Ovis aries: one gene and its partners. The protein of the gene in region 4 interacts with the protein of the main gene of each other region in a pairwise test. Links are inferred from orthologs where the notes say so. Each region holds a gene or a part of one and is shown on either strand. Other genes may lie near its edges.

Region 1 (4,291 bases), on a different chromosome or scaffold from region 4:
CAACTCAGGATCACAGGGAGTGAACAAGAGAAAGGGCTGCTGAACTCAGTGGTGTGGTTTCTGGGTCAGCACAGAACATCAAAGAGTATGCAGTTAGGAAAAGCCTTCTGGTGAGTTTTCAAAATTCTCTTTCGTTGAACAGAGAAACTCTAAGACACATTCTCTTTCTTTAGCTTATTATAAATGAGTTATGCTTCAAAGGTTTTATCTAGCAAGGTGATAGCATGGAAATCATAAACCCTGTCCCCAAAGATACAATGTTAAAAAATCATGGTAGTGACCTAGGCTGACTCATGAACCACCAATGGAGGTTCCGAGGGAACCCCCTGGACCTGGCATTCTATGCACTGTTTGAGTCCACAGCACCCACTTTAGTTTGAAAGGTGGAATGTGAATAGTTGTCTTATCTTTTGAGGTAAATTCTCTGTAAAACCTAGGAGAGAAATGGAAAGTTCTGGAGACTGAGGCAAACCTTAAAAAGAACTAGGAACCTTTTTCTTGTTATGATCATCTTGAACCATTAGGTACTTTTTGTGTGGTAAACCCAATGAGTGGGGGAAATCTTTAAATCAACCTTTCTGCTTCCTCCAATATACGAAGAATATGTTTTTTTTTTAATTGTACAAACAGAAAGAAAAGAACAACTTCTTCCTCATCTTTATGTGTGGTCAGCAGAATAATGGGCCCCAGAGATAGCCCTGTCCTAATCCCAGAACCTGGAAACACGCCGCCCCTACGTGGCAAAAAGGGGGTTACCATTGGAGAACTAAGGCTGCTGATCCTTATCCTTATCAGGTGGGTCCAATGGCGTCACAGAGCCCTAACTAGAAGAGGCAGAAGCCAGACAGAACTGAGAAGATGCTACCTGCTGACTCTGAAGGTGGAAGGCAGCCAGCAGCCAAGGAACGGGGGCAGTCTCTAGAAGCTGGAAGAGGCAAGGAAACAGATGTTCCTGTTAGGACCTCCAGAAAGGAACACAGCCCAGTAAACACCTTGATTTTAGCTTAGTGAGACCAAATTTGGACTTCTGACCTCCAGAACTGTAAGATAACAAGTTTATGTTGTTTGTGCCAATCTGTTACAGCCGCCACAGGAAACAAATACACCCTGCTTCCATTCACCCTTTCTGAGCACGAATTCATGCCATGCCTGGTGGCAAAGCAGTCATTGTGTTCAAAGCAACCAGACCAACAGCTTCCTGCCTCGAGCGGTGGGTAAGACCACCAGGAGAGGGCATGAAGAAAGCCTGGATTAAACAGCAAGAGATGGTACAGGAGCACGCAAAGCTGGAGAAGGCTTCTCCTGGGTGGGCAGAAACAGACACCTAAGTGGGGCTGAAAAGTCCTTTGGGATCAATCGTGGGTGTTTTCTCTTTTTTCAATCACAGAGGAAAAGCACACACTGCTTTTACTTGGAAGGTAACCAGGGGACATCTGATGGACACCGATCCCACGTGCTCTGGCCTTTCCCCTGTCTGCCACTGTGGGTCATAAACCCACCTATTGCGGTCAGTGGTTCCTCAATGACTTACTCGTAAACAAACAGAAAAGTAACAAGGTGCTTCACCTTTCACATTTTAACATACCCCACAACAAAGCTTGCTCCCTCAGAGCTTAAGAAACAAACGTCGCCTATGTCACTTAGTCAAGAAAGCGGATTCGCTTCCACTAAGCCACACAAGCATTTCAAACTGCTGTCTGTACTCTGCTTACCAAACCACAAAACTTCACCACTTGTTCTATCTGCCATTCTTTCATCTCTTGGGAATAAAACGTTAAATAAATTAACGAAAGCATTCCACATAGCCTTCTGCCAGCCTGGCAATCTGAAGCCATTTGACAGACGAATGCCCTGCGGATGGCCAACAGTTCCCAGGTGAGGTCAGCAGAAGGAGGCTTTGGAAACGGGTAGTTTTGTCAAGCGTTCGCTGTCGGTGTGGCGTGAGGGCTGTGCCGCGTCTCTGGGCACAGATGAGAAGGCAAAGTTGGGTTTCTCGGCGCCCCTCGGGCTCGCCCCGCAGGCGCTGGGGGAACAGCAGCCCCGTTTCCGCGGAGAGGCGGTCAGCCTCGGACCCTGGGGTGGCCGGCGGCAGGAGATCCCGGCCCCGACGGCACCGTCAGGTGGCAGCCTGTCCACTCGGGGTTCGCTGCCTGTGTTTTCTCATTTTTGTTTCTGAACAAAGACATGGACCAGGGTACATAACTTGCCAGCACCGAAGGGGCCGGAAACTACGGAGAACGGCCGGGGGAACTTGAGCGTTCGCGGGGGAGGCTGGGCCTGCGCGGGACAGCGGCCCGAGACCCCCGCCCGAGACCCGGACCCCGAGACCCTCCTCTGAACCCCGCCCTAGACCCCGGCCTCGAGACAGACCCTCACCCTGGAGGACTTCCGCCTCGGAGACTCAGGCCCCGAGACCCCGGTCCTACGACTGCGGCCCCAGAGACTGGAGCCCGGCGACCCCCAGCGCCGGCCCCCGAGACCCGTGCACCCCGACGTCGGCCCCTCATCACCCCTCAGCCTTTAACACTCGGGGCCCCCGGTGCCCCCTGCCCTGAGGAGGCCCCCGCCCCGCCCGGCTCGCGTCCGGCACCACAGTCCCCGGGAAACGTGAGTCGCCTGAGGCGCGGCCAAGGCGCCGGGCCGGTGAAGGGAGGAAGGGAGGGGGCGTCCGCCGGCCGGACCGAGGGCCGTACTGACCGTAGCTGTCGTCTTCGTCCATGGTGCCGGCGCCAGGCTCCGCGCCTGGGCTCGCCGCTCGCCCCAGGTCCCGCAGCTCCCGGCCCCGTTCGCCCGGCGAGTCTCAGAGCCCCGCCCCCGGCCCCAAGCCCGCCGCCCGCCGCCCGCCCCTCGTCCCCCGCGGGGCGCCCCGCCCGCGGCCTGCGCGCGCGCGCACACACACACACACAGAGCCCAGCACGCGGCCGCCTCCCGACCCGCGCCTGCGCACGCGCGCCCGCCCAGACCCCGCCCCCGGGCCTGCGGCCCCGCCCCCGTCGCCCGCGCGCGCACCCCTGGGGCCGCGTCCTCTACTCTGCCCAGGACTGCGTACGCGCGCCCGCCGAGGCCCCGCCCCTCTGGCTGGCCCCGGGCGCCGAGGCCCCGCCTCTGACCACGCCCCAACCCGAGGCCCCGCCTCGGCCGCCTCCGGGGGCCCAGCAGGTTTCGGATTTCCTAAGGGTGGCGCAGGCCTGGGAAACAGACCAGAGCCCAGCCGCCCACAGAGGTACCAAGGTCGTGTCCGGCCACTCAAGGGCAGGGTGGTCCTCGCTGACGTTAGTTTCACAGGTCCTGCTAGTCCTTGGCCGAATACCAGAATATTTTGAGTTCATTATTTCTGCAGTCTGAACCTTAGCACCGTGAATGTCATGAGTTCATTGCCTTTATATACTTCCTTTTCTTTGTCCTCTGAATGTACCCCGATCAAATTTCAAAGAGAGGCACCTCAGCCTCACAGCATGTCAGGATTTTGGTGACCTTGATTCCTGCGACTGTTGGATTCATACGTTTCTAGGCTGTGCCTTACATGTTTTATTTGCCTGCACTGGGCTGACCGACCAATCCCCACCCACTGGTTAGACTGAGCTGCCCTTTGAGGAGCCTGGGCAGTAGTTCTGCACCTGGAGGTGGGGACATCACCAATTTTTAATTCAGAAAAATAAACGAAAATGCTGCTTTTTTACTTGTTCCTGGATGGATATGCTCTTTCTTGATTTGGTGCTACACATAAAAATTATAAGTGTGTCATTTGGAAGGATCACACAGGGATGGTCCAGGACCCTCCTGGGGGGCATGACCCTGGACCCCCTAGCACAATGTGCTGTACTGGGGGTGCTGCGGGAGAAGAGCTCAGCCCAAGGTCCTGGCAATGCCCCTGAAATGTCAGGGAATATCTCCATCAGGGGGAGTTGTGACCCTTCTCAGCAGTCTGTTTCCTTACAGACCGTTCCAAAACATGCCTCCCGGTAGACAACAAAGGAAAGTCCCTTTCCTCTCATGGAAAAGGAGTAAATGAATGAGGAAACTCTAGGTTTTCTTTCCACATCTGCTTCCTATTAGCTCTGTGATCTGGGCAAATACCTCAGCCCCCTGGACCTGTCTCACACCCGTGAAATGAAGCATCTGCCTATAAAATCCAGGCTCCTGCCCAGTACTGATCTGTGATCTGTTGCTGTCTTCTGCTTGACTTCAGCACAGCTGACAATGTTTTTGTTTGATGAGATGGATTCCAACATTATCAGTCTAAGGGATCCCAATCTTCACATTCCATCAGGGTGCAGCTCTGGCCCACCCT
Region 2 (3,500 bases), on a different chromosome or scaffold from region 4:
GAAGTGCTACAGGCTCTGGAGGAGCTGGCCATGAACTATGACCAGAAGTCCCAGGAGGTCGAGGAGAAGAGCCAGCAGAACCAGCTTCTGGTGGATGAGCTGTCTCAGAAGGTGGTGAGTGGCCAGCCAGGAGCACCCTGACCTCAGAACACCTTCTGCGTCCAGAGGGAACTCTGCTTCCTAAGAGGGTGGTATCGTGTTTGTACCTTTGTGCTGTCCTTCAGTTCGTGGTGGGCCCCTCTCCCACTCCATCACGTTACCCTCCTGAGCATTCTTTCTTCCAGACCCTTCTGCAGGGCTTGTGTTCTCTTTGTAGCAACCATCAGGGTCATGCATGAAGGGAGAGGCCTCTGGCTGGTGGGGGAGGGAAGCAGGAAGATGGTGCTGGCATGACCTGAAGGACTGTCCCCAGGCCACCATGCTGTCCCTGGAGTCTGAGTTGCAGCGGCTGCAGGAGGTCAGTGGACACCAACGAAAACGGATTGCTGAGGTACTGAACGGGCTGATGAAGGACCTGAGTGAGTTCAGTGTCATCGTGGGCAACGGGGAGATTAAGCTGGTGAGTGGAGAAAGACGTGGCGGCCTTGTTCAGATCTTTCTTGTTCTGGGCACTGGTGGGAGGTGTAGGTGAGACACTCATGTCCTCAGAGATACTGAGAGGAGGGGGACAAGATCCAGGAAGCACACCTGCAAACTAGACACAGGAAAACACGCAGAGGTTTGCATAGACTCAACTGAAATACACATTTTAGATCTACATACCTGGTGAAATTTACATTGCTGGATAAGGAAGCAGTGGAGATGTGCTTTTAGCAGGATTTGGAGACGGGGGCACAAAATTAGGAATGATATAGAGAGATCTGTGGCAGTGACGATGCCCCATCTGTGTGATCAAGTGGATCAGTCTGACTACAGAATATCCTGTTTCTCTATAGAAGGGAAGAGGGTGGCTGTCAGAACAGATCGTTGGATGCAGAGAGGGGGATTCAGTGTGAAAAGCCAGGTGGTACAGAGCTGCTAAAAGTTGTTTGGAACATACCTGTCCCACTGGAGTCCCTGTGCCTGTGGGTGTGTGTGGGGCTAGGCCGAGTGGAAGGAAATGGATAAGGGGCTTCCCAGGAGCAAAGAGGCACCTCCTCCCTCCCATGTTCACCCCACAGCCAGTGGAGATCAGCGGGGCCATTGAGGAGGAGTTCACGGTGGCCCGACTCTACATCAGCAAAATAAAATCTGAAGTCAAGTCTGTGGTCAAGCGGTGCCGGCAGCTGGAGAACCTTCAGGTCGAATGTCACCGCAAGATGGAAGTGACTGGGCGGGAGCTCTCATCCTGCCAACTCCTCATCTCCCAGGTGAGTGCCAGAGGTAGAGAGCCTCTGGGTGCCGTGGGAGAGGCAACTCTGTGGTTGTGGGATGACTGCTAGCACCGATGTTTCTGTCAAGGGCCTAGGGTCAACTGAAGTCAAGGACAGAAGAGCTAGGGGAAGCAGGAGAGGGTCCAGGCTAGAGAATTGAAGGTTCAGGGGGATACTGCCCTCTGAACCAAGAGAGTCTAAAGCAAGGGTCTCCAGAGGAATGGCCCTCAATCCTGCATCCTGGTGGAAGGTGTAGCAAGGAGCGGGGAGAGCTGGAGCTTGTGGAGGTCTGTGCTGCCTGGAGTTGGGCCCTTGACTCTATCTATCTTCTTCGTCACCAACCCTCACCCCATCAGCATGAGGCCAAGATCCGCTCCCTGACGGAATACATGCAGAGCGTGGAACTCAAGAAGCGGCACCTGGAAGAGTCCTATGACTCCCTGAGTGACGAGCTGGCCAAGCTCCAGGCCCAAGGTGAGGCCTGCTTAAACCTCCAACCCACCCGTCCTGGGACCTGAGATCAGAGAGGGTGTTAGGAGGCAAAGCGACAAACATCACAGGAAGCTGCCTATCAGCACACTCACCAAAGCATTAGACTGAAATCCTGGAGTCCAGCTCACATGCTGCTTAGCATGCTTTGGCATGTAGCTCATTTTACGTGAACCATAAACCCTCCATCATTCTCTGTCCCTGCTATATGAAATTGGACAATCCTCACCCAGAAGAACATCCCTGTGGGCCCATTCTAAGGGTAAATGTGCCCTGCCCTGCCCGGCGCTCTGGTCACAATGTGAAGTTCTGTCTGGAGGTGGTAGGTGTGATATAAACCGCTTCCTCCCTCTCCCTCAGAAACTGTGCATGAGGTGGCCCTGAAGGACAAGGAACCAGACACCCAGGACTCAGAAGATGTGAAGGCAAGTGGGGAAAGTGTTGGGGAGACTGGGGTGTGGCAGGGCCCTCACCAAGCTGGTGGCTGGGAGTCTGGCATTGAGCTTGGGTGGGGTTGTGTTGCAGAAGGCCCTGGAGGTGCAGATGGAGAGCCACCGGGAGGCCCATCACCGGCAGCTGGCCCGGCTCCGGGACGAGATCAATGAGAAGCAGAAGACGATCGATGAGCTCAAAGAGTAAGAGTTCCCCAGGGTGGCTCCAGTCTCCACCTGGTCCCCTCACCTTGCTGGGTCCACGCACACACTCCCTCTTGCACCAGGATCCAGTTCTTTAACTTCTATGGGTCATGCCCCAGCAAAGACATGACTTTGCAGTCCAGCTCCAGGAGGTACAAGGAGTGAGGACTAGTCCCTGTGCTCCAGGCTTCTCTGATTTGATAGCTCAGGGCCCCTTATCCTGCCATGGAAGCAGCAGCCTGAGTCCGCCTCTAATATACCCCGAGGTAGATGCGTCAACCCTACAAGGACTTATGTGTACAAGAAGGAAAGTGTTGGAGGGGTCAGTCTCCCCTTTGTCCCTCACTGACATCTCCTTGTTCTCCCCAATACTTCCTTGCTCTCCACAGCCTGAATCAGAAACTCCAGTTAGAGCTGGAGAAGCTCCAGGCTGACTATGAGAAGCTAAAGAATGAAGAACATGAGAAAAGCACCAAACTCCAGGAGCTGACGTGAGTGACGGGTCCGCCTGCAGACCTGAGACTACATGGGCTCAGATGGCTACTCACACATGCCACAGGGATAGGACGTGATCTAGATGGGGATACGGTGATCACAGGAAGCCAGGTCCTCAAAAGAACAACTTGATGGCAAGGGGGAAAATAAAGGAGACTTCTGTTCAGTATTAGCTGACATGGAAAGATGTGGGTGATGTTCCATGAAGTGTAAAAAGCAGGTTATCAACAGTAGGAATGGTATAATCTCGTAACATTTATGTGAGAGCCACATGCATGGAAGAGTCTGGAAAGATGGACACCAGAATGTTCACTGTGGTTTGATCTGCAAGTGGTAGAATCATGGGCTTTTTATGGAACTCATCTTACTTTTCTCATTTATGCACTGTGAACATGAATAACTAGTTTAGTAAGTAATAAAAAAATATAGATCAAGGAATGGAGGAGGGACAGAGGAGCAGGGTGGCCCTGAGTGCTTTTTATGTCTTCCTCCAGATTTCTGTACGAGCGACATGAGCAGTCCAAGCAGG
Region 3 (3,500 bases), on a different chromosome or scaffold from region 4:
AGTGAAAGTGAAGTTGCTCAGTCATGTCCAACTCTTTAGCGACCCCATGGACTGCAGCCCACCAGGCTCCTCAGTCCATGGGATTTTTCAGGCAAGAGTACTGGAGTGGGGTGCCACTGTCTTTTCCTCTAATTCAGCAGAATATGTAAAAGAAGTACTGCTTCGAATTTTTTTTAACAGAATCTAAAGACTGTACTCTTTACATTCAAAACCTCCCCAAATGAACCTTCTTGGGAGAAGTTTTACACTTTCCAAGAATTTAAAACAAGACAAATCAACTCCATGCTTTTTCCAGATTTCTTACCTGTGTTGCCAAACTCAAGACCTGCTGCACCAGCTCCTGTGTTTCTGATGGTTTCTTGAGGAACAGCTTCACTATGGCAGTGAGCAGAGTGAGCTGCACCTAAATAAATTTAATAGATGAAGTGAAAGGCATCCATATTATTCCACACCACCAATTCCAAAGTGGTGTTTCCCCAAACATGACTGACTGACTTACTACAAGGCCTTTCTGGTTTTGATTAATAGACAAAGGTTGAAAACTCCGCCAGTATCAACAATAGCAGTCAAAGGTTTTCATCAACTGAAAACTCACTAGACTCCTACCTCCAAGTTGCATTTTTGGCATCAAAAACTGCCTGTTTGTTTATGCCTCAGATTAATCATCTATATTTCTTAAAGTATATGCTAACATGCTGATGGCAATAAAACTGGTTCCTGACCAAATTCTCTATTATTTACTTCCACCGAAAGCTACAACTTTTGGGGAACTGGAGAATCGTTTATCATACTGAGGCAAGAGCCAAGACCACAGAATTATACTAGATCACAGTCAATTAAGAGTGGCTTGCTGAACCATGAAATTACTGGCTTGTATGTATTCCTTGTCAGGGCCTATTAAAATTACTATGATAGAATACATTTATGAACTTCAATTTGCAGTGAGTATGAACACCAGGGGGAAAAGGTTTAATAATTTATCTGCTTCTCTGGGCCTTTGACTCAAAAGTCTCTCAAGGTCTCTCAATTTTGGTAGAGGACAGATAGAAGGTGGGAAGGAAGATTCTTTTCAAAATGCACATGCCAGCCTTCACCCCGACAAAAACTCCAGCTGTAACCGAGCCACAACCATTATTGACAGTAATGGGCAATCATCTTTAGGTGACAGAAAATTATAATTAACTATCGCTCTAAGCCAGTAGTTGTCAAAGCATGGTTCTGGAGCAGCAGCAGCAGCAGCAGCAGCATCACCACTCTGAACCTTGTAAAAATGAACCATCTCAGGCCTACTGAGTCAGAAACTCTAATGTGGGTTCCAGCAACCTGTAGCTTCAACAGAGATTAAATACCAGTGCTTAGGTGTTTCTACAGCTCATTAAAGTTTGAGAACCACTAGCGTAAGCTAAACAGGCTTGTTCCAACAGACGTCAGCACAACTGAAAAAGCTCACCCCTTTTGCTTTCAGGAAAAAAATGAACATATGCACACATATATACACACCACACATATACACACTATATATACACTACAGACTATATATATATACACATATATATATATAAGTTCAGACACACAAAACTGCCTAACCTTTACCTTTCCTGAAATCCTCCCCCAAACATCTATTTCATTAGGTATAGAAGAGAACTTACTTGGGTGCTTTCATCATGAAAACCCTCCAGGAAGCTCTCTAGTAACTCATCAGCATTGTCAATTCTTTCAGCATATTCTCCCACAATCCAAATCATAGCTGCTCGAGCGTCTGGCTCATCCAGTGAATCTAAGTTCTCACACAGTGTGGCAATGATACTTTCGTATCTGATGTAACAAAATGGACTATGGTTACTGAGGGCAAAACTGAGAACTGTATTTAACAATGAAGACTAAAAGCAAAACCATGGACAAGGTATCCACACTTAATCAAGAAATTTAGAAACCCAACCCCTCTTTCCTGACAGAGTGGTAAAAGCATATCCTTTTCCCAAAAATACAATTTCTAGAATTAAAAAAAATATATAAAACACTTAATAAACCACTACCTTGTTAAAATATTTCTTCTAATTTTGAGTCCACCATTAAACTAACTTAATTGTAAGTCACTTCATTTCATATGATCTTTAAAGATTAGTCAGAAGCCTCAGCACAACCTATCTCTATGATTATAAGGTAAAATGACATTTAGGGTGCTTAGATGATCTGCTCTTTTTTTTTCAATTGGAGGGTAACTGCATTACAGTGTTGTGATTTCTGCCACACAACACGAATCAGTCTTAAATTATACATATATCTCCTCCCCCTTGAATCTGCTTATTTCACTCTTTCAGATTCTTTAATTGCTTGCCTTCAAAAGCAAATCTGAAAAAGTGTATGTTTCACAAACTAAGACCTCAACATGAAAATTTTCTGTGAAGTGAAAATGTAGATTTTGCATATCTTAATGGAAGCAGCTACCATACTTGAGAAAAGGTCTAAAACGCTGATAATTTATCGTTACATGTTCTACAATTTTCTAAAAGTACTAGGTAACATACAAAGTGAATAGTGAAGCTGTCACCTTCCTGGATTTTACAATAGGGTGGCCATATTACTCAAACTGAGACATTTCTGAGAGTGGAAAGGGGGCACATTTATTAATTACGCTTGGTAAGAAGCATAAAATGGATTATGCCCAGACATGAGTATCCTATTTAATAGTAACTTCATCACCAAAGAACCTGATTAACTTTAAAAATATGTCAATCGACAATGCATATTCAGACAGAGCTTCAATTCTTCTAAAAGTGATAAAACAGTAAAAATGAGATTTTAATCCTCGTGCTCACAAACTTACACGTTTCTGATTTTTAATAAAGCATTTAATTATGACCAAATAATTCTTACCTAGCCAGTCTCAAAGTGCTTTATTTAAACATTTCCTAAACGAACTGAGGAAGAGGGGCAGAAGTATTTGGACATACTTGTTGGGGTATTTGCGGAAGATGTCCCTGATGACAACAATCGCCTCTTGGACCACATAATTTACTTTGGTTTGGATGAGATCAAGCAACGTGCTCACACAGCGCTCTGCAGATTGCTACAATGAAGAACATAATGAGAAGTCAGATATCTACCCAATAACACAACCTCAACAAAAAAAAAATGGGGGTGGGGGGAGAGAACATCCAGGTACATCAACTAAACTAGATTAAAAGATGAGGCACTTAATTTGATCATACTGTATTAGACACAGGGTTATCTGATGGAGATGTACAGAAGTTCAAGATACACCCCAAATTTTACTCATTACAAAAGAGTCAGTTCAAGTGAACAAAATCATCTTGGATAGCCAGGATGACAGAAAAGAGAAGATAGCGTAAGTCAAGGTATGAGCAAAGAGTAAGAATGACAGAATACACCGGAGTAGGAGGTCTTTATCTGCAGTTCATGAATGAGCAAGACAGAGGGCATCTTTAAACCTCTTGAAATGAAACTGCCAAATTTCATTTGTGCAGACAAGCACATTT
Region 4 (4,233 bases):
GGTCATGGTGTTTTATTAGATGTCCAAGGCATGAAAGCTATTCTGTCACTTGAAAGACACGCCATCCTCTTCAGGACATAGTCTGGGGCCACTCAGTGAGAAGGAACCACGATGCCAGTGGTTCTCCAATGCTGCTGTGTAAGAAAACTTCCTGGAGAGCTTGTTGGAAATCAGATTCCAGGAGTCTGTATTTTTACCAAGAACTTCAGGTTATGGTGATGTAAGTGATCTGAGGTCTACACGTTGAGAAACCTGCCAGTAAGTGGAACTATTCAGAAGAGAAAGATCATTCACAAGAGAAGAGCCCTACGGCAGTGGAATGTGAACTGAGTAATATAAACCCGACCGACCTGTAATTAATTCCCTATAATTCACAAATCCACATTAAAAAGCTGAGTAAGAGTAGAGGGATTTAATCACACCTCCTCCTTAACCCTCTTTATGGAGATTTGAGTTTGCCTCAATCTAGTAATTTGGAGAAAACATGAATTTAAGCAGAGTTTTATTTCCAATAATAGGGATAAGCATTAAGAAAAAGGAAATTGCTAGTCAATTGCAAAAAAAAAAAAAGCTAAGAGACACAAACATTTCAGGGAACTAACTTGCTACCACTTGTTTTATGCCCTATTTCACAATGCTTAGTATCTGAACAATCCACAGGGTTCCAAAGTACATCAAAAATGTGTTCATTTCCTCTCTTACTCAGGCAGAATAATAATAGACTTTTGTGAAGGTACCATGTGCCTCAGAAATTTCAATAGATACATTCTTAAATAAATAGCCTTCAAAAACAATTCTATCAGAAATTCACCCTACTGCAGCTACTTATAGAAGTCTTAAATAGCTTTTGGACCATCACTAAATTAGTGTCCTTCATTTCTGAATTTGGATTACCTAAAGTTTTGGGGTTCTTTACAACTGTCCTACAGAAAGAACTCAATACTGAAAAATGTTTTTCTTCTTTTGTTATAAGCAAACTCAAAAATAACATGTTTCAGGTGAACTATTAAAAATTTAGAAACAAAACACAGTATTTTGTTCTCCATAATAAGTAGAAATCATAACTTTAGGGGGGGTACTAAGCTTCTGCACCTTAAGTCATATAAAAAATAAGGGTATCCCAACAAATATACTCCTATTTCAGACAGTAAGAGTAGCACTACATATACCAGCCGGCCTGCTGGCTCCATGGTCCCATTTCATACCCTCAGATCCTGTCCACTACATAAACTCTGAGCCTGGTCTTCATCCTTTCAAAGGGATTAGTAAAAACTGTTTCCCCGATGACAGAATTGAGATTTTCCAGACGCATTTTTGGCACGGTACTTGTTTTTTATTATCTATACTTTTTATTGCACTTGTTTTATTTGGACGTCCCGACCACGTAAACATTAAGAGCAGGATGCCAGCAGATAAAGCACAAAGAAACGCAACTATTCGGAGTCGCATCTGTTTAAATTTTCAGGCTGGTGCTGCCTCCAGAATAGCACCGAGGATGGCAAAGTTCTAAAGGAAACTTTCATTTTCAGAGGCTATCAAAAAATCTCCAGAGCCTTCAACTCAACACAGACGCCCCTAATGGTTTTCTTCAAAAACAAAGCCTTTAGTATGAATCACAACAAAAGATGCCCATAGGAAATGTAATCTACGAAGGTGCTTCCTAATCCAAAAGGCAAACAAGAAGAGGGAAAGGCGCAACCCCATTCCTCGTCGGTTACCTTTTCCTGGGGATTCTGACTGCATTTTCCTCGGTCAAGCCAGACAGAGCCTGGTAACTGTGGCTTCGGTCCACACTGTAAAACCGTGTCAGTGCGTAAAGAAGGGGAAAAGGAAGCGGCCGACACCGGGAACGCGCTCCCCCCTTGAAAGGATGAGCCGCTTTCTGTGAAATACCACCGGAGTCAAGTCAGTCCCAGCTGGAGGACGCGGGGCCAAAACGGCATTGACTGCCCTTCACTGACAGGGTAGGTTGTTTTTTGTTTTTTTTTTTTTGCGGGCGGAGGAGAGAGAAGGGATGAGCCGGGGAGGAGAGGCCGGGCATTCCGGATCCCCGGCAGGCTGGCGGGGAGGCGAGGCTCGGCCGGCCCGCCCCACTCGGGCGACCGCGGGCAGCGAGGTCAGCCCTGCAAGGGACCCCACTGCCCCGCGTGCCCCTGGAGAAAGGACGGGACCTCCCCCCAGCTCGGCGGGCCACGGCGACCGATGCCCATTCAACCCCCAGAAGCCCGTCCCGCGGCCGCCGCCCACCCCCCAGCCTCGGTCCGCCGCGGAGCCCCGGCCTCCCGGCGCGTGCCAGCCGGCCGCCACCACCACCACCCACCCAGCCACCCCCGGCGGCTCGGGAGGATGGGAAGGACGAGTCACAGGGCGCCTCCCGGGCGTGCGGCTCAGGGTGAAGGGCGCCGGGAGGGACGCGCACACCGGCCCCGGGGTCGGGGCTGGGGGGTGGACTGGCGTCCCGGGCGGCCATCGCGCCCACCCTCGCCCCGGCCGCCTGCCGGGTGCAAGGCAGGCCGACGCGGTCCAGCCCTCTCCTCACCTCATCTCCAGGCGGGTCCACGCTGCCGCCTCAGGGGGACAAAAAAAAAAATCAGTGCAGCTCAGTCGCCGCGGAAAGGGGACGCAGGAGCCGCAGCCCCGCACACCATCCCCGCCCGCCTCTCGGGGCGTCCGGGAGTCCGCCCGGGATTCTCCCTCGCGAGCCGCCGTACTACCGAGCAACCAAGCTGCGCGCCCTCCCGTCTCCACCTCAGCTCTCGGCCTCCCTTCGCTCCTCTCCCTCAGTCCCTCGCTCCCGCCTATCTCCTCATCTCCCCCGGGACCTGCCTCCCCCGCGCCCTCTCCGCCCCTCCGTCTCCGCCCACGGGGGGTGGGTGGGGACAGTGAAAAAACAACCAATCGAAAGAAAGGGCTCACACCTCCTCTCGCCCCCTCCCTCTAGCCCCGCCCACCGCGGGGGAAACGCAACTGAAAAAAAAAAAACCTGGAAGAGGAGGGAGTGACAGCCGGATCGACAAATCAGCAAGCTCAGAGGGGGCGGGACCTGGCCACCCCCAACCCCCGCCCCCCGCCGTTCCGCCCCCTTTCCCGAAGCAGGCGTCTGGCGTAGGGTTTCCCGACGTGCCTAGAGGCGTCTGGTGTGGGGCTTCGGGACGTTTTGTTCCATGGTCTCGGTGCCATTTGGCGATGCTGTGCTAGGCGAGGTACAAGTTAGGACGTCTTCAACTAACGGCAGGTGTCACAGGAGATAACAATGTGGCGGCACAAGGAGGGCGGGGCACAGTCCCGGGAAGGTGGTGGGGATGTGGTTGGAATTAGGAAGGGTGTGGTCTTGAACAAATTTACATAAAGCTGAACCCGTCGGCCTCTAGGACTTCGCGCCTTGATTGATAGCCCCAGGTGCGTCGCCTTGGAGTATGCCGGGAGATGTAGTTCCGCGTTCGGTTGCTATGCTGGTCTTCTCGCATTAATTGGTAGCCCCAAGCGCGTCGCCTTAAAGCATGCCGGGAGATGTAGTTCTGCGTTTGGTTGCTATGGCGGTCTCTAGAGTCCGAGACTGACGAGCGGCCTGACCAATGGGAAGAGGCTCTAGTGCTTAGGGGGCGGGTCCTCTGCTGAGGGGCTTGAAGGTGGCGGAGGTGAAGCTGCAGGCCGTTAGAACCGCTCCGAGGCAGGTGAGCACCGAGAGACGCGCTACGTGTCTTGGGAAACCGGCCTTTGGGCGGAAGCTTGGGAGACGCCCCGCGAGACCGTCCAGCCCTGGGGTGCAGGGTGGTTTCCGTCGCACCCCAACCTTCTTAACACCTCTTGGGCTCAGGCCTAGCTGGCTTAGCTGAGGCCGCTGAGGGGCGGGAGAGACTTGAGTTGCCTGACGATTTCCTGGTTTTTACTGGTTTTGATGGTGGATGTTAGTTTGCATCTTCCTCCACTTTCATGGAAGCAAAAGTCTCCTTCCACCGAGACTCCCAGGTTGGAGTTTATCCACTCCCGCGTCTTTTTGTTTCTATACTTTGAGTTTCTTTTTCTTTCTGCCTTACTGGTTCCATAATACTGCTTTCTCCTCCGTCACTTTTTTTTTTTTCCCCGTTGAACAATTACGTAAAACAGGGGCGTTCGGGTTTATGTAACTCTAGGTCCAGATTTGCCCTCCAGATTTAAGCTAAACCGAGGAATACTCTGGAGCAACGCGTGAGAATCACCTCAGAACCGTTTTGAAGTGCAGACTATGATGCT
Region 5 (3,500 bases), on a different chromosome or scaffold from region 4:
GTACCTGGAATTCCCAGGGGTCGTGATTTCATCTGAGCATTAGAGTCTGTCACAGGGAGGGAGGGGGGCCTGCCTCCACCCTTTGTCCACACAGTTGGTGGATGGGGAAAATGTATCTATGAAATTCATCACAAAAGAGGTAGACATCTCACCTGGGGGCAAGTGGCCACTGAAAATGATGAACAGTTAAATCTTGACTAACTGGAATGCTTGGGAATGTTATTTTGGTGAATTATAGGACTTTCTTAACACAGTGGGCCATGGAGTTAAACTTAGTTTCAAGAGTGATGGCTGACTATCTGTTAGACCTTGAGCCACTTTCCTGCCTTAGAGTCTTAGGGCAGGGAACATGATCAAAGCATTCCTTGGTTTTGGTTTCTCTTGATATGTCTGATTGCCTTTCCTCTGCAGCTCAGCTTTCATTGCTTGGTCCGCTTGGATGTGGAACTTAGAGAATGAAGACTGAGTGAGAGAATGCAAACTGCCTAGACTGACCTTTAAGAGAAATGCTTTTAAATCCCTAATGGGATTTTTCCCTTTGTTTATTTGCCTCTTTTTGCTAAAAGTCGAAACAAACAAAAATATAAATATACTCAAAGGTTCAAGTTAGCTAGATTCCAGTTAATCAGGTTTTACTGTAGATCATTCTTTAAAAAAAAAAAACAAACTTAAATTTATTTGTAAATTGAGCCCCTCCCCTCCTAAACAGGAAGTGGGATATTTTAAATCAGCCTCAAAGTTTAAAGGATGTGAATGGTCATATAATCAGCTAGAAATGACATCGATTTCTATTCTAAAAGCTAGGATCAGGAGAGCTTTTAGAAAAAGGCTTCTGTTCAAAGGGAAGTAGGAGGGGTGAGGGGGATCGGGGAACAGGTTTAATCTTCCAAATGCATGTTGGACAATCCACTCATGCATTTTTTGTTTTCCACTGCTAGTCAAATAAGACTACCTTCCAGAACACTTATTTTCAGATTCCTTCTGTTGCAAACCTTTATAACCACATGTCACATTTCTGCTACATTCCAAAAAAGCGTTGCAGAACCTTAACAGTTGAATGTTTTGTGATGTCGTGCATGCAAAATCTACACATTTCAACATTTCGGCCAGTGTACGGGAGATCTTCCTAAAGGAAGAATTGGAGAGGGATGGGCCCAATTTGGCTAAGGCATGAGCACTTCTTGCTGAAGGACTCTTTGCCTCTGCGTTGGGTGCAGCTGCGGCATCTATGGTCTAACCGCTGACCAGATTTGGTAACTGGTGGGCAGTTGAAAGGGTGAATCTCTGTCTTACTTACTCTCTAACTTATGGAATGCTTGTTTGGGCCAAATTACCTGTAATTTTTGCTTCTGAAAAATCAAACCTTGATACATATGTGTATCTCAACTTCCAAACTTACCCCCAGTCTTTTCTAAATCTGCAATTTTGGTTTCGGGGATTTAGAGAACATAAAATTCCCTGGGTGGCGCCTCTTTCTTGAGGTTAGTCTCTGTCTTGAGGTACACTTTCTGGAAAATGTTGAAACGTTCATCAATAAAAGTTGCTGACAGTGAAGCTTTCACTGTAGTATGCCTGATTTTTAATGCATCAACAGTTTACTCCCACTAATATCATCTATGCTATGAGATGAATGCATTAGAGACGGTATTGATCTGTTCTGCATGCCACATACTCATCCTGCCTTTGCACCAGCAGGAATGAGATTGTCAAGGCTTGGAGATGGGCCTTGGGAAACCAAAGCTTCAGGCAGGCAGGCAGCACCTACTTGTTACAGGGACACACACAAAGCCCGCAGAATTTTCCTAGATCCGTCAAATTCTTTTCTGCTTCTTTCATGTCCTTATTGATTTGGTCCATCCCTTCCTCAATGCGTTCCAGTTGTTCTGATTAAACACAAGTATTTTATCCCCACAGAATGAAGCGGATGGAAAAGGACAAAGAAAAAAAAGACAAAACTTCAGACATTCACTTTGACATTAAAGAAAAAAAAAAAAAAAAGAAAGAAAGAAAACTGGACGCCACAGATTAGAGCTGGTACCCAGTACCTACTTGTTACAAGGACATATGAAAAGGCCACAGCATTTCCCTAAATCTTTTAAATTTTTCTCAGCCTCCTTCATGTCTTGGTTGATATGGTTCATGCCTTCTTCGACACGATCGAGTTGTTCTGGTTAGGACAAAGGGATGACAGTGTGGAATGAATTTTTTGGGGGTTTTCAACAGAACATGAGAAATGAAACGGAATTTGAGAAAGAGGGAGAGCTATTACAATGCATTGTCTGAGGAGATGCATTGCTAGAATCGGCTGTCGATGCCCTGTGCAGCCAGGGGTGGAAGGAAATGAACAAAAGTGATGCTCATATAGTTTATAGTTCAGACATGATGGGATGGAGTAGATAAGCCTGCTTGATTCTGAATGTCCAGGAAAACAGCACAGCATATTCACTTACTCAGACACCAGTGAAACTCAAGAGAAAGAAAATAGGGTGTTAGTTTGTTTTAGGCATTCAAATGCAATGGTGCTAGAGGAAGTGTCTGCTTCAACTTTAAAACATCTCTCTCTTTTGGTTTTTAGCACCCTCAACCAGCTAAGGATAGAAAATAATCCACTTTCTCCTTTGGGAAGAATAACAACTATAGTGATAATTAGCAATAGGTACCATATCTTTTCTTCCCCCTAGCAATGGCTGTTTAGCCAAAGGCAGGCCATAGGCAGTCTTTGGTTTTGAATATTCAATTCATAGAAGCTGTAAGAAAAGCAATATCAGCACAGCAACATTACAGGTACTGGACCATTAAATTCCTGGAGAAAGGCGATGGATTGGAACATGAAACAGTACTAAGTCATCAGTGCCAGGAAAGCTGACCTTAGACAGTATCTTAAGACATAGACTGATGGCCATAAAAACGAATCATACTTCTAGGTTGCCAGGGTTACATTCATCAACTTGATTAAGTTTTCAAAAGTGGTGTCATTAAATTGAGTAAATTACAAGTTACATGAAGTGATTTTTAAAACAGCTTTTATGACTTTTTGGCTTTTCATGTAGCTCAGTGGCAAAGAATCTGCCTGCCATTGCAGGAGATGAGGGTTCCATCTCTCGGTCGCAAGATCCCTGGAGGAGGAAATGACAATCCACTCCAGTATTCTTGCCTGAAAAATCCCATGGACAGAGGAGCCTGGTGGGTTACAGTCCATGGGGTCACACAGAGTCAAAAGCGGCATAGTGACTGGGTGCATAAGACCATTAAGGCAGCAGTGGGATGTCCTGGCTGGCTATTTACAAAACCTAATTACATTTCTATTCCTCTTTTCAACTATATTTTCATGCATGCATGCCTATGCCTCTGGGAAGAAAGATATGATTAGAATAAAACTAGTAAATATTTTCCTGTATAAAAGGGCATAAATAATTACTTAAAAACAATTTCACATTAAATTGTCATTCCAAACTGGAGAGACTGCCTGTCCATTTGGAAAATAAGAAGCTATTGTGTTG
Region 6 (4,200 bases), on a different chromosome or scaffold from region 4:
ATTACATCAAAGAGCATGCAATTTGTATTTCCAAATCTGATTCAATAAAATACTTAAGCTTAGACAGACTTAGAAAGTAGGACAACTGACAGTTTAGTCTATTCCTCTGTATGAGCCATATGATATTTTGAGAAGGTGGTCTTGATTTCAATAATCACTCATTTCAAGGTTTTAGTCCTGGCGAAACCAAGTTTATACTGAAGGAAAAATTACAGATGCTAAACCAAGAAAATTCCCCACAAGGAATACTCAAGTATTATTCCCCTCAAAGCACAATTGCTAGTGTGTGATTTGAAGAGTTGTCAGAAAATTACTCCATAATTTTTTAAAGAATCTGTTTACCAGTTCATTTTGCCAGTATTTATATCATCTATAATTTTTGAGACCAAATATTTTATTTGGCAAACTAGCCTTAGATAGAAATGTACAGGGAAACAGACAGATGTAATTTTTGAAATAGCTTGTATTTGAAGGCACTCAACTCTCTTCTCATATAAAGTAGCTAATAGTTTCTCTTAAGTGAGTCATTTTTTTTTAACAGTCATGGAATTTTAGATCTAGAACTAGGAATATTTCAAGGCAGTGACTTTACTGCAGCAACTTTAAACTGAACTAATACATCCAAAGGAAATTATTAACAAGGCCATTGATACTAGACTTGTACGAACTTTCCTGTTTCATGCAAGAATATGAATTTTCTGAACCAAGGGTAGCTTCTGTCAACTAATCGTTTAAACTTCATATGTTTTGCAAGATATTCGATATTTCTTCATGACTTTGGATTTCCTTTTTTTAAATGTAAGCAAAACTTTATCCTTTGACATTAGATAAATCAGGATACTTGTAACATCTCTTGCCTTCCTTTCATTTCCGTTCAAGTTGGGATAAAGACTGCCGCTATACATGCAAAATTCCATAGGCCAATAGAAAGCTGCTCCCTGAAGCGGAAATTCGGCTATAAATAACAGAAAAAAGGCAGTTAGCTCCCTCCTGGTTTGTTTGCTTGTTTTTTAAAGATAACAATTTGCAAAATGTTTGCATTTATTCCTAATTTTGCTTTCCTGGCTCTGAACATTCCTCATCCCAGGGTCTGACTAAAAGCCAGACTGATCCATCATCACTTTACAAAGCCATCTGCGAAGACCATAAAAGCTAAAGCTCCGTCTTCAATTGTTACTTTTATTATACACCTTTCATCACTGTAATTCCATAACTTCACGCGTTATGCTGGGGGGTGGGGGGTGGGGGAGACAGAGAGCAGTGATCTCTCAAGAACAGAACCAGCTCACGGTGTCAGGAGGCGACAGTCTCGCCAGAGTCCAGAAAAGAGATAACCTCTCACCCTCGGTGGCGAGGGGCAAGGGATGGTCGGGGGGCTGTCCCGGCCTTCTCCCCGCCTCAAACTCCTTCCCCTAACCGACAGAAAATTCCGCAGCCTCCTGACCAGGAGGAGAGGCGAGCCCCGGAGCGCGGGGCGGGAACAGCGCCGGCACAGACACTGTCGCGGGCACCTGAGCCGCCCCTTCCCACCACCTCCCGTGGCCACCGCACTAGGCTAGGCGCGCAGCATCTCAGCCCTGCGGGCTGAATTTCCATCTTCGCGCCCCCGAGCCCCGAGGTCTAACCCCCGCAGCTGCGGCGGCCCCTCCAGGAAAGCGCAATTTTTATCCCTCCGGGCCCGGAGGAGGGGTCCCTGCCTGGTCCCGGCTCATTCGGGCTCGTTCAGTTCCCTGAACACCCGCCGCGCCGCGACTGGCCAGGAATTGGCCTCGGCCTCGGCCGCGGGCAGGGGGCGACTTTCCAGCGATCGCTCCCTAGGACCGCGCTTCTCCGTGTGTCTATCTGAATCTCTGTCTCTCCCTGTGTGCCTCTCTCTCTTTGTGTCTCTTCTTCTCTGGCTTTCTCTTTCTTGCTTGAGCAAGCGCGCGCGCGCGCACACACACACACACACACACACACACACACACACACACACACACACTCACACAGAGGAGGGGGCTGTCTCCACTCCCAAAGCCAAAATGTCACCCAGAAAACAAGTGCAACAACTTGCTTCGCCCACGACTCGGGAGCCGGTGGAGAAATGCCCTGCAGCGAGCGGCCCCCTCCTCCCCGGCAAGGTGCAGGGGGCTGGGGGCGGGGGGTGGGAAAGCGGCCGGTGGACGTGCCGGGGACTGCCGTTCAGCTCCCCTCCCCCTCTGGGACCCTGTCGCAATTAGAAATCCGTCCGCGCCCCGGCCCGGGGGCGGCGTTGGGGAGCGTTTAGCCGCGAGGACCGCACACCCGGAGAGGGGCGCGCCGGCCCCCGGGTCTCCGGGGGTCGCAGAAGTGCGCCCTAGGCGGCGGAAGGGGTAGGAGAAGCCGGCTAGCGGTCCGGGGAGCCCAGCCCGGAGTTCCTCCACTGGCAAGAGCAGCGGCGACCGCGCGGCTGGGAAAAGCCACTGGGAACTCGGCGGTGGCGGCGGCCCGGGCTCCCGTGGCCCTCTCCGCGAGCGCACGCCCCAGCCCCCGGCGCAGCCCGGCGTTACCTTGCCGCTGCCCGCAGTCCGGCCCTCGGTCGCCGCGGCCGTCCGTCGGTTCCCGCGAGCTTCGGAGGCAGGACGAAAGAGGTGTCCCCGTGGCCGGGACAGGCTCTTAGCGACGCGAGGCGAAGGACTCGAGAGAGAAGCCGAGGCGGCTGCGACCGCTCCCGCTGCGGATGCCGCCGATTCCCCGGGGCCGGAGGTGTCGGAGAGGCCGGGTCCTCGGGATTGCGGCGCCCGGAGCGCAGCGCTCGCCTCTGGCGCGGAGGCTCAGTGGCGGGACGCGGTGGGCTGGGGCGGCGAGGCTGGGCTGGTCACCCGCCCCTGGGTGCATGTTAATACGGTGGGGAGGAGGAGTCCCGCGCTTCCTCCGCCCAACCGCCGGAGCCGGCGGGCGAGTGACGGCCGAGGCCCGGAGCCCGCGCTCCCACCCGCCCCGGCTACTACGGTGCGGCCACCAGCCCTGGCCGCGGCCCGGCACGTGCGCCTGGGCCGCGGGGAGGCGCCCGGCGTCCTGCGGGTGATGCCCGCTCCGCCTCCGGGCGGCAAGTGCGCTCACACGGGACGCAGAGGCCAGCCCCGCATCCCAGCGAAGGAACCGGGAGGCGGCCGCGCGTTGGTGGGCGTGCCCCGTGCGTTCCCCGGCGCTGCATCCGCGGAGAATGGAACCTGCCCCGCCTCACCTGCCAGCTCTGGTCCCCTAATCTTACCAGGAGCGCTCCACACTTTCTGTCACAGGAGAACACGTAGGCGGGTAAAGGGTTTGCCCTTTTCTCTCCATCCTCGGGGTCCCTAGTAGAATTTTTGAAAACGCAATCGCCAGGGAGGAGCCCGGGTTGTGGACCTAGTCTAGACTCACCAGGACCGCCTGCTCACACCCCATGCCCTTACTTCCAAACAGTTATTCCTCAGAGCCTCAGTTTCCCCATCTGTACAACTGAAGGCCATTGTACAACTGTACAATCTGAAGGCTCTTGGGGGCAGCAGGGGGAGGGGATTGTGGATTAGATTACACAATATATATTCTACCGGTTTCTCTAGGTATTTAGAGAAAACCAAAAATAATAGGGAAATGAATTCCTTTTCTTCCTGTCCTCTGACCTCAGTAAACGCTCAGCTCTCCATCTCAACTGCTTTTGGGAGCCACGCCCATTCGCATAGGCTGAGGACCACAAGTCCACGAGCTCTGAAAGTAAAAAAAAATCCTTAAGGCTTCTAAGTAAGAATAGAAATAAATATTCTGTGAATAGGTGAAATTTGGGTCAAAGAGAGAATGGAGTCAATCAATTGTTTATCGAGCTCCTGCGCAACCCACTTAAGTACTAGGTTCTGGGTGATAAGAGTTAAAATAGTGGTTAATCACAGTCTTCCGGTCTCCCTCAATAAAGAACGGGCGACTTCACGGAGAAGGTCTGTCCTTTGTTCTACGGCTGCCAGAGAGAACGTTATGCCAGAGAGTATATAATCTTCTTTATGTAATTGTACCCATAAACTTATAGCATAAGATTTAGCATCTGCTTTGTGTGATATCTAATTATAAATATTAATAGAATATCCTTTTTAAAGAAAACACTTCTAAAAATGCAGAGACGTGAAAAACAGTTTCCATAAAAATATGACTCAGATAAATAGTCACTTTTTCGCAATTTCACTGAGTGATTTTCCATTAAAGAGGGGG

The links.
Region 1: the proteins of ITSN1 (region 4) and CYTH1 interact in a two-hybrid assay, tested with the Homo sapiens proteins (2 studies listed by BioGRID and IntAct). The link is inferred for Ovis aries from reciprocal best matches to the Homo sapiens genes ITSN1 and CYTH1.
Region 2: the proteins of ITSN1 (region 4) and KIF5A interact in a two-hybrid assay, tested with the Homo sapiens proteins (2 studies listed by BioGRID and IntAct). The link is inferred for Ovis aries from reciprocal best matches to the Homo sapiens genes ITSN1 and KIF5A.
Region 3: the proteins of ITSN1 (region 4) and AP2B1 interact in binary tests that used the Homo sapiens proteins (3 or more experiments, as listed by UniProt). The link is inferred for Ovis aries from reciprocal best matches to the Homo sapiens genes ITSN1 and AP2B1.
Region 5: the proteins of ITSN1 (region 4) and SNAP25 interact in a two-hybrid assay, tested with the Homo sapiens proteins (2 studies listed by BioGRID and IntAct). The link is inferred for Ovis aries from reciprocal best matches to the Homo sapiens genes ITSN1 and SNAP25.
Region 6: the proteins of ITSN1 (region 4) and DLGAP1 interact in a two-hybrid assay, tested with the Homo sapiens proteins (2 studies listed by BioGRID and IntAct). The link is inferred for Ovis aries from reciprocal best matches to the Homo sapiens genes ITSN1 and DLGAP1.

Annotation. Positions count from the first base shown.
Region 1 is NC_056064.1:52,903,694-52,907,984, reverse strand, and holds the start of CYTH1 (cytohesin-1), read right to left. Parts: upstream 2,801-4,291; 5' UTR 2,720-2,800; coding exon 2,698-2,719; intron 1-2,697. UniProt on the Homo sapiens protein: Promotes guanine-nucleotide exchange on ARF1, ARF5 and ARF6. Promotes the activation of ARF factors through replacement of GDP with GTP.
Region 2 is NC_056056.1:162,087,638-162,091,137, reverse strand, and holds part of KIF5A (kinesin heavy chain), read left to right. Parts: coding exon 1-114; intron 115-412; coding exon 413-559; intron 560-1,160; coding exon 1,161-1,349; intron 1,350-1,708; coding exon 1,709-1,826; intron 1,827-2,201; coding exon 2,202-2,266; intron 2,267-2,366; coding exon 2,367-2,476; intron 2,477-2,865; coding exon 2,866-2,967; intron 2,968-3,465; coding exon 3,466-3,500. UniProt on the Homo sapiens protein: Microtubule-dependent motor required for slow axonal transport of neurofilament proteins (NFH, NFM and NFL). Can induce formation of neurite-like membrane protrusions in non-neuronal cells in a ZFYVE27-dependent manner.
Region 3 is NC_056064.1:14,441,927-14,445,426, forward strand, and holds part of AP2B1 (AP-2 complex subunit beta), read right to left. Parts: intron 3,071-3,500; coding exon 2,955-3,070; intron 1,816-2,954; coding exon 1,650-1,815; intron 404-1,649; coding exon 305-403; intron 1-304. UniProt on the Homo sapiens protein: Component of the adaptor protein complex 2 (AP-2). Adaptor protein complexes function in protein transport via transport vesicles in different membrane traffic pathways.
Region 4 is NC_056054.1:122,553,501-122,557,733, forward strand, and holds the start of ITSN1 (intersectin-1), read right to left. Parts: upstream 2,801-4,233; 5' UTR 2,540-2,800; exon of another isoform or gene 1,420-2,539; intron 1-1,419. UniProt on the Homo sapiens protein: Adapter protein that provides a link between the endocytic membrane traffic and the actin assembly machinery. Acts as a guanine nucleotide exchange factor (GEF) for CDC42, and thereby stimulates actin nucleation mediated by WASL and the ARP2/3 complex.
Region 5 is NC_056066.1:3,369,300-3,372,799, reverse strand, and holds part of SNAP25 (synaptosomal-associated protein 25), read right to left. Parts: intron 2,168-3,500; coding exon 2,050-2,167; intron 1,884-2,049; coding exon of another isoform or gene 1,766-1,883; intron 1-1,765.
Region 6 is NC_056076.1:38,844,655-38,848,854, forward strand, and holds the start of DLGAP1 (disks large-associated protein 1), read right to left. Parts: upstream 2,801-4,200; 5' UTR 2,529-2,800; intron 1-2,528. UniProt on the Homo sapiens protein: Part of the postsynaptic scaffold in neuronal cells.